Linked DNA regions of Struthio camelus. The protein of the gene in region 1 purifies or fractionates together with the protein of each later gene. This does not show direct contact. Links are inferred from orthologs where the notes say so. Each region holds a gene or a part of one and is shown on either strand. Other genes may lie near its edges.

Region 1 (3,742 bases):
GGTTGCTTGGCCATCTGTTCCATTAGGCAAACCCTTCAACTTTGGCTACTAATGTCTGACAAACCTTCACCAATAATTCTCCACTGTAAAGACTGACCCAGTCTGAGCACAAAACTGTACCAAAGGAATCATCTCTTATTTAGGCTACATTAAATTAGCTACTCTCTTATCGAAGAGCACCATTGAGGATATTACCCATCAAAAATATGATGTGAATAAGATTTTTGGACATAAATATACACAACTTAGTAAATTACATGGAAAGGCACACATGTTCAATCACTACCAATGTTACACATGGGCCTAAAGAGTTAAAAAGTGCCAAGTTCAAGCAGTTTAGTAACATTAATGATATGGAATATTAAGCTAATATTTAGAAGGACATTTTCTATTTACAGACTATTTAAAATAGACTACGCAAATACAATATGAAGATCTTAAAATGCTACATAAGCACGCTGCAAAACACAGCACCAATTGAACTAAGTTTCCAGTCCTCCACTCAGTGAGATCAGGTAAACCATCCCCTGCACAGCACCCTCATGGAGTCAAAATCCTCCTTACACAAATCCTCTTGCAGAATCTGGCCCCAAGATCATGTCTAGGCATGAATGTCAAACCCAGGTGCAACTAATACAAATGATTTTACCAATATACTTTTAAACAAAGGCTTTGCACCTGGTGTGGGCTTGGCAAATTACATTTAGGCATACATTTGCTGATTATGGTCAATACCAGACAATGCTAGGGCAGCAATGCAGCTCAGAGTAAACACAAGTAGACAGTTTGCAGTCCAGATCTGAAGGGAACACTCAGCTACAGGAGTTCACGCATTTTCTTTTATTCACCATCAGCCCTTTGTGCCAGATACATGTTTTCAGTGCAACTGGCCCTATGTAAATTAGAAATGAACGTTACTAAATATTCTACAAACATGTCTTAGTTAAAGAAGCCTTGCTCTCTCAAACTATCAAAGTGTGTTGACCTTTCTGGAAATATCTGTGTTTCTTTTTCTACAGTCTTCTGCAGTCCAGAAGCAACATAGCCACAAAGTTTAGGAAAGACAACAAAAATATCACAGCTACTAGTGTATAAAGGTTTAGGGGTTTTCTTAAAGCCTTAACCCACAAAAGCACACTACCTAAAGCATAGCCCATCACCAAGGCGAGAACTTTCACGAGAAAGGGGAACTCTGTCGCTGGCTTCGACGACATCAGAAAGGAGGTCGCAGCGCTCCACGCGCGACCTCCGATCGGTACGTCACCCCTTCTGCGGTGCTGCGCTGCACACCCAGCACCTCCGCGGTCTCGCTCACACAGCGCCTTCCGTCTTACCCACCAAGGCGGTGAGAAACTCCGCGCAGGATGCCAAAGAGGAGGACGAAAGTCATGCGGTTTTGAACCCCCAAAACACCTCCCTCTCCACGTTAACTTTTATATCGACGCTCTGAGGATTAATACAAAACCTCATATGCCGGGTGCTGCAAAGAAGCCAACAGTTTCACGAGCGCTTTTATTCCCTCAGACACATAAAGTCGGGGCGGTCGGCAGGATCAGGCCCTTTCCACACACACCCAGCACCCTCACTTCTCCTTTAAACCAGTCCTTTTCATCCCGTGACCCGGCGACTCCTGGGGGAGCTGCGGACCCCTCTGAGGCACCGCACAGCTGTCACCGGGGCGAACGAGCAGCGTTAAGCCGGCCAGAGGCAGACCCACGACTCCATCCAAACACAGCCGGGAAACGGCCAAGCGAAAGCGGTTGGGGGGGGGGGGAGGTAGGTGAAAATCACTAATCTAAACCCATAACGCGGCGCGGCAGCTGCCGGTGGGGGCGGCTCCTCCGGTGGCCGCCGCCGCCTCCTCCCTCCTGAGGGGACCGCGGGAGGCGGCCCGGCCTCGCTCCCCGATGGCGACGGCCCGGGGGGCCGCCAACCCCCCTCGCCGCCCTCCAGGGAAGGCGCGACCAGCCCGGCTGCCGAGGCGGGCGGCGGAGGAAGAGGGAAGGGGGAGGAAGAGGGAGGAGGAGGAGGGGGGGGAGCCGCTCCCGCCCCGCTGCGCAAAGTTAGCGCCGGCCCGGCCCGGCCGCAGCCGGCGGGGGAGGGCGGCCCCTCGGGGCCTCCCCGCCGCGGAGGGCAGCGTTGGCTCCGCAGCGGGCTGGCGGAGGGAAACCGAGGCGGGCGGCTGCGAGCCGGGCAGAGGGAGCTGAGGGGAAGGGGACTCACGCTGTCTCCGCTATTTAAACCTCTTCCCGCCGCCTCCGCCTCACTGACTCTCACTCGCTCTCTCCTCCCCGCGGAACTTACTAGGGGCCGGCCCCCTCCCCTCCCCCCGGCCAATATACACACGGCCCGCACGCCCGGCCGCCGCCACCGCCGCCGCCCCGCCCGCTCGCCCCAACCGCGCCGCCCATTCGCTCGACTCCGTGCCCGTCAGCTGGGCTGCGCGAAACCATTGGCTCGGCCGCTTGCCTGTCAAGTGGCTCTGCGCATAGGCCCCGCCCCTCGTCCCGCCCCTCTCCTTCCCGGACACCTCGGGGGGTTGTTATAACGGCCGTTTTAAGTCACCATCGAAATTTACTTTTTAGGTCCCACCCACTTTGGGCTACAGGAGATTCTGATTGGGCCAGGGGAAAGCCTCTCCACCGCGGCTGGGCGGCTGCGCGTCAATCACCACTAAAAGTCCCGCCCGGAGGCATGGCGTCATCCCACTTGATTTGTCCGCGCTGCCGGTCGGTCCCGCCCATTTCCACAGCTTGCCCAATCAGGCGTGGCATCTCAAGCGCGGAGGCGGTGTCAAAGGAACGTGCAGAAGGCCCGCCGTCATTGGTTGGCGCCTGTCTGCCCCGCTGTCGCTCTTCCGCCACTACCGTCCCGTGGAGCGTACCACGCGGCGGGGGGGGTGGGGAGAGAGGAGAGGGGGGCGGGCCGGCGGCAGGAGCGAGCACCGTTGGTTCGGCCCGTCTCCATTAGGGATGGCGAGGAGGAAGGCCTTTATTGCCCGTCATGCCGCGCGCGCTGTAGGTAGCTCCCTTTGGTCCGGGCGGGGGGGGGGGCGGGGAAGGAGGGAGGAGGTTGATGCCTAGTCCAAGATGGCGGTGCAGGAATCAGCTGCTCAGCTCTCAATGACTTTGAAGGTGCAGGAGTATCCCACTCTCAAGGTGGGTGCCGAGCTTCTCCCCGCCGCCGCCACACGCACGGAGGAGAAGGGGCCGAGCCTCGGCCAGCGTCTCGGCGGGGCGGGAGCGGCGGCCTTGCCCCCCCCCCCCTCGTTCCCCCGCCCCGGCCGCTGCCCGGCTCAGGCGCCCCTCGGGGGGCGGCGGCGGGTCCCCACACGCACTTCTCCCGCCGCCCTCTGCCTCGCCGCCGGCCCTCGGGGCTCGCAGCGCCGCGGTTTGTGCCTCCCCCCGCCCCCTTCCCCCTGCGCCGTGGGTGAGGGACGTGCCTGGAATATGGTGCTGCTGCTGCTGCCGGGGGCCTCCGTGCCCTGAGGTGAGCGGGGAAGGCCCCGAGCCGCACCGGCCACAAAACCGGGGGTCACCGAGAGCCGGCGGAGCTGCTCGGGGTTGGGGGGAGAGGGCAAGTCACGGCTGAGCTGGGGTGACAGGGCGAGGTGAGGGGTGAGGATGGAGTCCGGCTGGGGCAGGGGGTGTAGGGGCGTGTGAATCACGGTTTCTCAGCCCGAGGGTTGCTCTAAATGCTCGTCCCGGCTGATTAGCTGGATCTACGTGGCGTTGTTAAGAGA
Region 2 (3,742 bases), on another chromosome or scaffold:
GGGATCCGGCAGCGTGCGGGCTTGCGGCGGACCCGTGCTGGGGCGGGGGTTATTCAGGGATACGATTTCATCAGGCGGGCACAAACTCAGCAGAGCAGAAGAGCAGCTGCCCCGGGTGCAGGGGTCCTGCCCCAGCGGAGCTCGGAGCGGGGCCGCCGCACAGGTGCAGCGCGGCTGCGGGCGGCCGGGCCCCGCACGCCGGCCCCGCTCTGCCGCGCCGCCGGGCCGCGCTCCGCACACCGCTCCTCAGCAGCCTGCCTTCCAAAAGTGTGGGAGAGAGAAAGATTTTACCTCGTCTTCTCCCTTATTTTTGCAGCCGAGCATTTAGAAAATTAACTGGCTACTCCCAGCGTGGCTTCTTTTGTTTTTTCTGATTTTTTTTTGGGGGGGAGGGGATCCTTTAAATTATTTTTTCAATTTTACACAGAGGCTAAGAAATTGCGCTCTTCAGGTATTCTCCCTTAATTGCAAGCAAAAAGCTTTCCTGAATACTAGCGAAAAATCACACAATCGGGGCGTTTTTTACTTCACGCACAAAGAAGTAAAAGTGAAATAATAAAAGAATTGCATTTGATCCCAATTTATATGATTTTCCATGTAATAGCGTGAAGGCTACAAAACATTTTCTATTCACAGCCCAGAAAGAACGAATTGAAAAACTGAAAACTTTTCTTGCTGAACGACTAAATTCCAGGGTCGCCTACAACCCTCCTTCCACTTGCCATGAAACTGAGACGCTCTTCAGGGGAAAAGAAACAGTGTTTCAAAATACAAAAATCCCAGCTTTTTAAATATGATTTCCTTTATGAGCGGATTGTAACTGAAGGATTATATAATGCAACGCATCTGTCTGGGGGAAACTGCTGTTGCAGCAGCGAAAGCCAAGACATGCAGCCCAAAGAAGAAACTTTTTTTTTGTGTAAATGGCCAAATCTATCCCTGCAGAGCAGCGGCAGCAAGAGCAGCCTTGCAACGTTATACATGAAAGAAAAGGAAGGGAAAGAAAAGAAATCCTGACGGTTTGGTAGGGGACGTGTCACTCTTTTTACATAATTAGCCCAAAAGTAAGGTTGGCAACCTGGAGATTTAATAACATATTTGTATTCAAATCGCCTTGCGCTGGATTATCCACTTTTAAATCACCTAATCAAATGCAGGTTGTTGCTGTTATTGTTAAGCTTCAAAGAAAAGCTGATGATGATCCAGAGATATTTTGCTTCCCCTTTTCCACGCTGCTCTATTTTTTCCCTTAACAAATAAAGAGTAAATAAGCATCTGCTTTTTACGTCACGCAACTTATGCAACATTTCATCTGACTTTTTTTTTGCCTGCCCATTTTTTCAGTCGAGAATGTAAGCTGCAATCGGCATGAATTTCAAGCGAAGCTTGCCCAGATGTGTCAGTGAAAATAAAGACATCAGCTGCTTTTAAAATAGGACGCGAAAGCTGGCGAAGTTTTGTTGTTGCTTCCCTCTTTTTTAAAAACACTGCTGCAGTTAAAAGCAAAGATCCCTATCATAAAGGAGAAACAGATGGAGTGAGCGTAAGACAAATAATTAAATAAATCGGCATTTGCGTGTCGATGGCTGAGACCTAGCCTAGCAGAATAGAGACCTTTGGGCGGCCAAACTGTATAAAAAGTGCTGGAAAGGCGCCTGAAATTACAACATTTAGATCAACTTTTAACGGGTGACTCCAGCAGGCTGGGAACTGCTCCGCGGTGTCCGGCGGCCCCGCTCCCCCCGGCGCGGCCCCTTCCACGCGTCCACCCGGCGCATCCCGGCGGAGCGGGGCGGCGGCGGGCGGCTCCCGCTGGCCCCGCTGCCCCGCGCCCGGCCCCGCCGCCGGCCCCTCCCGCGGGGGCCGCCCCGGCTCCGCGCTGCGACCGCACCGCTCCGCGCTGCGCTGACAGCGCCTGCGGGGCTGCGCGCTGGGGACCACCAGGGCTCCCCCGTGCACAGCCTCCTTGCAGCACAGCGGGCTCCCCACGCGTGCGCCGCTCCCGTGTCCGCTTTGGCTTGATTTTACCCGGCTACGCATATATAAACATATATATTGTTTTTTAATATTTTTCTGGCACAAGCCGGCAGCCGACCAGCCCTCGAGGCGGGCAGGGCCAGGGGGGTCCCCGCGAGCTCTGCACCGGCAACTTGTTCCCGAGACTCGCCGCCTTCCCCCGCAGCCTGGAGCAGACCTGCCGCTGGCTCCCCCCTCCCCACCCTCCCGTGTGCATGGATGTACACACACACACACATATACACACACACGCACACACACACACACACACACACGGCCCCCAGCCCTTGCAGACAGCCGACAGCGCCCACTATAGGGCCCGGAGCCTCTCGCAACCCCCCCTTCGACCCCCCCCTCCAGCCCCCGGCAGCAGCAGCAACTTCCAGCGCTCGCCACTGAACTTTTCCTCAACTCCTTCCCCACCTCCCGCCGGGCGCCCCGCAGCCCCCAGGCCGGCTCCCGGCGGCCGTGGCCCTCGGCCCCCCGCGCCCGGGATGCTCCGCCGCCCGCCGGGACGGCTCCGGGGCTAAGGCCGGGGCCGGGCCGGGCCGGGGATGCGGCAGGTTGCCTGCGAGCTCCGCGGCGCATCAGACATATCATGCAACATGGCAGAGAGCGAGGGTGAAAAGCCAAGAGAAAGGGGTATTGCACCTACTTGCGGCCAGCTTCCTTGCCCTGCCTTTGGATCGCATGCTGCCAGTCCCGCGGCCGATGCTGGCGGGGGGGCCTTTTTTTTTTTCCTCCTGGAGCTTTTCCTCCTTTTTCGCTCCCCCTCTCCCTCTCTCCTCTCCCTCTCCCGCACACACACTCTCCCTTTCTCTCAATCCCGGCTCGCTATCTCTCCAGCATTGTCAGTTTGGACACCTTCGCACATGCGCACGGGCGGCTCCCCCCCGCTCTTCAACATTTCAGCGCCGCCAAAAAAAGTTTGCAGCGATCCATCACCGCCGGTGGGGACCCTGACAGCCGGCACCGGGGCCGGGCCGCGCCGGGGCCGCCGCGCCTGCTCCCCCGGCGCCGCCCGCCGCCCCGCCGGCGCACGGGGCGCGCTGCGCCAGCGGCCCCTGCCCCGTGCCGCGGGGAGCCGCCACCGAGAGCGCGGCCGCGGCGCGGGGGTGCTGCCGCCGCGGCGGGCAGCGCGCTCCGCGTGCCGGCGCGCCCGCGAGTCTTTACAGCGGGAGAAGTCTCTTTTGCTCCCGCCGTGGCAAGAGTAGGAGAGTGGAATAAATTACGCTTTCTTGCTGGCTTTTTATATAATATTAATGCTGCTCTGGCGTCTTTGCAACATTTAAGTAGTGTATTCTCATCCGGCCGCAATTATCATAGATCTCTGCGTATATATAGACGGGGAGATATAGTTTGATTATGTATGCATATCATTAAATTGTACACTTCTCCAGCGCACCCACTTTCCCCACCTTGAACTCGGCTCAGCTACCACCAGTTGGGCAGAAAAAGTGCTTTTAAAACAGTAACACCGACCGCTCTAATCTGTTTTAATTACAGGGCTTGCCAATCAAAGAGAGAGCGTGCTGAAATTGGGAACTCCTTTAGGGGATGGCTGTGTCCGAGGTATGAATCAATCCAAACTACATATAGATTTTCCTCTGGTACAACCTCCTTGCATTAAACAGTTTTGTTCAATACCTTCCATGCGCTATTTATGTTCCCATTAATATCTGTTGCAAATCCTGCCAGACACCATAAAAGAAAATTACAATCTTTC
Region 3 (3,742 bases), on another chromosome or scaffold:
CCCTCTGCCAAAGAATGCAGTTTATCCTACTTATTTGAAACTGTCCCTTTCTATTATCCAAGGAAAGGCTTAAATCTTGGTGAAGACATCACAAATTAAAAGTATTAGTCGTATTCCCAAACCTACAGTTAATGAGAGCTCATAAGAGCAATAAAACATGGCGTTAAAGCATTTGCAAGCCATTGTCATAGCACTGTGCTCTGATACCTTAGCAGACAAAAACCAGCCCCCACCACGCATGTAAGCGCTGGTCAGCAAGTCAATGCCTGCTATTCAACTTGCAGTTAGGCGTTTTATTTCTGTGTCTTCCAGATCATATCACTCCTGCATTTCAGGGCCTAATAAAATGTGAGGAATGATATGCTCTCTCTCCCCTTGCATCTGAAACTGCGTTATTTCCCTCTCTCCTTTTTCACACATTCTTACAAAAACTTCCCTTTTCACATAGTTCTATAAGAAAACATTTCACTGCATCTACTTCAGTTCCTATTTCTATTTTCGATTTTCACTAGATCCTTCTGCTGCTGCCTCCCCCTCAAACCCACTGGTAGAAACTGGTGTAGTTTCAAAGCTCTCAAGGTCATTTCAGAATTAAAAAAAAAAAAAAGTTGCTTAAAAAAAAAAAAACTTTAAACACACAAAAGCCCTAAACTAAACCCTTTTCAAATTCAAACGCCTCTCATCACCGGATCAATAACCCCAGCAGAGAGATTTTTCGTTCCCCACCACTTCAGAACTAGTACGCTCCAACCCAAATACTTACGGGGAGGCTGGGAGGGCGCTGGGCTGCGCGGGACGGGCCGGGCGCTCGGCGCACGCCGCCCAGGGCTCGCTCCGGCCGCAGGTTTTCTGCGGGCGGAATAAACACCCGCCCCCCCCCCGCTCCTCGCGCACCCACCGCAGCCGCTCCGCCGGGCACCGCGCACAAGGGCCCGAAACCCAACCTCGAGGTATTCTAGAATTTTATTGTCCTCGCTTGGCAACGTCTTTTGTTGCTGCTGGAGTCAGTTGAGGCTTATTTGTTTGTTTTTCTAAACTTCCTATTGCCCTTAAAAACAAAAAAATAAAAGAAAAAGAGAGAGAGAGAGAGAAAGAGAGAGAAACACGATACCACGATGCCAAAGACACGATCAGGAAGACTTTGGGCTCTGGAAGAGGGAGACAAACGAAACAAAACCTGGCAAAGCGGATCAATAAAGTTTTCATTAACCCCCCCCCCAATCCAAGCACGAGCCACCTACTACCAGTCCTTCCGCCAGGAACATCTTAGACTCACAAAGAAATAGCCTCTTCCCGCTTCTCCCCCTCCCTTACCCGGAGGGAGGGGGGGTGTACAAATAAAGCAGAGGCACCCCCCCCCAGAAAGTCGCCGTTTTGTGTGTTTGAAAGCCAAAACCCAGGTGCACAATGGGAGCTGGAGACACCTATTCGCGGGGGGGGGGGGGGGGGGTGCCGGGCACGGCGCGGGCTCCACCGCGGGGGGGGAGAGGCGCCCCCAGCCCCGGAGGGGGGGCGCGTTACCTGCCGCGGCTCCTTCCCGCCCCCCGGCTGAGGGGTGGTGGTGGCCGGGGGGGGGGGGCGGCTGAGGCGCCCCCCAGAGGAGGCGACGGGAGGGAAGAGCCGGGGCACCGCGCACCTGGCCCCCTCCCCAGCCGCCCCCGCGCACCTGCCTCCCTCCTCCGCTCCCCCCCCCCCCACCTTGGGCGGGCAGCGGCGCCGGGACACCACGGCGATGGGCGGCCCCGCTCTGAGGGGAAAGGCCGGGGGGGGGGTGGAAGGGGGGGGTGGAAGGGGGGGGTGGAAGGGGGGGGTGGACGCCTCCCCCCACCTCCCTCACAGCGGGCGCCCCCCCCTCCCCCCCTCAGCCTGCTGCGCACGGAGGGAGCCGAGCCGAGCCGACCCTCAGCCCGCCCTCCCTCACCTGCGCCTGAGCCGCCTGCCCGGCCGGCATCCTGAGGTGGGGGCAGCAGGGAGGAGGAGGAGGAGGAAGGAGGAGGAGGAGGGAAGCAGGGCGGCCGCCCGCGGTGCCGCCGGAGCCCGGAGTGGCGGCGCTGGCGCTCGGGGCACTGTTTGTAAATCGCTCCCGCCGCAGCTGTTACTCGGGCTCCGCCGCCCCGCCCCGGCCCCGCCCCCGCCCGGCCCGGCCCCGCCCCCGCCCGGCCCGGCCCCGCCCCGCGGGAACCGGCACCGGCCCCGGGGTTAAATAACGTGAGGGGAGTTTGTGGGGGCCGCGGTCCGCCCGCCCGCCCGCCCGCCCGCGCGGGGGGGGGAAGCGGCCTCACTTACTTGTACTCCTTCCCCTCAGAAAGCACGGGCGAGCTGAGGCGCGTTGCCGCCCGGCGCGGTGGGCCGGTAGTTATCTCCCCGCACGACAAAGGGCAGAAAAGGGCGGTTCGCCCCCACCCCCCCCCCGCCCGGCCCGGGCAGGGCCGCGGCCAGCGCCTGGGCCCGGCCCGCCGCCCGCCTTTGCGCATGGAAGGAGCGGCCCTGCGCCGGGGAAGCGCTCCTCGCCGCTCCCCTTTTGTGCGTCGCTTGGGGGGGGGGGGGGAGTAAAATAGCCTGACCCGTCTTTTCTCGGTCGTGCTTTCAGGAGCCCAGATGACCTCTAGCCGCTGCGGAGCGCTCCGCTTAAATGCGTGTTTCCAGCACATGGAGAGGTTGCCGCGGGAGGAGGGGAAACGGCCGCGGCAGAAACAGGCAGACAGTTTGCTGCCAGCTGTTGTCACAGGCTGGAGGGCGCTGCTGGCGCGAGGTTATTGGGGGGGACGGTAACCCTCACCGAAAAGGATGGGGATTTCTGATATTTCGTGTTTCTTGCATCTGGCAGTCGTTGTCGGAAGCGCTCAGCCGTCCCCTCTGCCATAGCGTTACTTCCCTAAAGGTATATTAGCCTGGGTGCTGGAGTGGCGTTAAACGCAGCAGAGGAAGAGTTAAAATAATATTTTTAAGCCTTTCGGTTGCAACTGAGGAGCTTTGCAGGAGTTAAAGGTAAATGGGATCTGTAATTCAGTTAGCAAAGCACTTAACAGCCTCTCCTAGACCCTGAAGAAGGTTAGCACCTTCCTCCAGTAAATAGGATAAGAAAGAGGGGAGTTTCCATGTGGTCTCTCCTTGCTTTTCACCCAAAGATACATAGAGACTTGTTAAAGTCAGTTTAGTTTAACATCATCAGGTTTAGATGGCGCCCGCGGGCTCATTGGCTTCAATGTAAAAATCACCCTGCCTGAAAGGAGGAAATCTCTAAAATAATTGCCTCTCAGATTAGGTGTTTTTTTAATTTTTTAACTTTTTTCAGACTCTTTTCCCAGTGTAAAATGAGAAACACTACTCGGAGGGAATTTTTGGTCACTTACATGGCAAATAAAGATTAATCAAAAACATGACAAAATGTGGTAATACTTTCTCGCCACATAATAATTCAGGGAGATGAAGTATCTTTATTGGCAAATTTGAATCTTCCATCACGCTAACTTGAAACAAAATTCTTTAATGAAAAAAAGACCAAAACTTGCCACAAGACCAAACTTTTAAAATTTATATCTTGAAGACCTGGCCCCTCAACTAGTCATAGAGGTAGGTGGTGCACCCTTACCACTTCCCTGGAAGTTAAAATACATCCCTGTGAGTCAGCTGTGTGACGCAAGACCACGGGGTTTCTCCTTGCAGTAGTCTGCTCCTATATAGGTTTTCAGACATGGGATCTTGCTCCTGCTGCTGCTGTCCTCACTGAGAGTTTTGAATT

What was found.
Region 2: the proteins of CTBP1 (region 1) and MECOM purify together in Homo sapiens (affinity purification with mass spectrometry; 6 studies listed by BioGRID and IntAct, counting the BioPlex papers as one, with this or other methods). This does not show direct contact. The link is inferred for Struthio camelus from reciprocal best matches to the Homo sapiens genes CTBP1 and MECOM.
Region 3: the proteins of CTBP1 (region 1) and ZNF217 purify together in Homo sapiens (affinity purification with mass spectrometry; 10 studies listed by BioGRID and IntAct, counting the BioPlex papers as one, with this or other methods). This does not show direct contact. The link is inferred for Struthio camelus from reciprocal best matches to the Homo sapiens genes CTBP1 and ZNF217.

What each region holds. Positions count from the first base shown.
Region 1 is NC_090945.1:79,522,952-79,526,693, reverse strand, and holds the start of CTBP1 (C-terminal-binding protein 1), read right to left. Parts: upstream 2,332-3,742; 5' UTR 2,224-2,331; intron 1-2,223. Other genes in the region: E3 ubiquitin-protein transferase MAEA, read left to right, coding at 3,090-3,158. UniProt on the Homo sapiens protein: Corepressor targeting diverse transcription regulators such as GLIS2 or BCL6. Has dehydrogenase activity. Involved in controlling the equilibrium between tubular and stacked structures in the Golgi complex.
Region 2 is NC_090950.1:28,166,175-28,169,916, reverse strand, and holds the start of MECOM (histone-lysine N-methyltransferase MECOM), read right to left. Parts: upstream 2,891-3,742; 5' UTR 2,709-2,890; coding exon 2,672-2,708; exon of another isoform or gene 2,668-2,671; intron 1-2,667.
Region 3 is NC_090959.1:11,537,222-11,540,963, forward strand, and holds the start of ZNF217 (zinc finger protein 217), read right to left. Parts: upstream 2,722-3,742; 5' UTR 2,565-2,721; intron 2,400-2,564; exon of another isoform or gene 2,287-2,399; intron 2,128-2,286; exon of another isoform or gene 1,922-2,127; intron 1,745-1,921; exon of another isoform or gene 1,699-1,744; intron 877-1,698; exon of another isoform or gene 764-876; intron 1-763.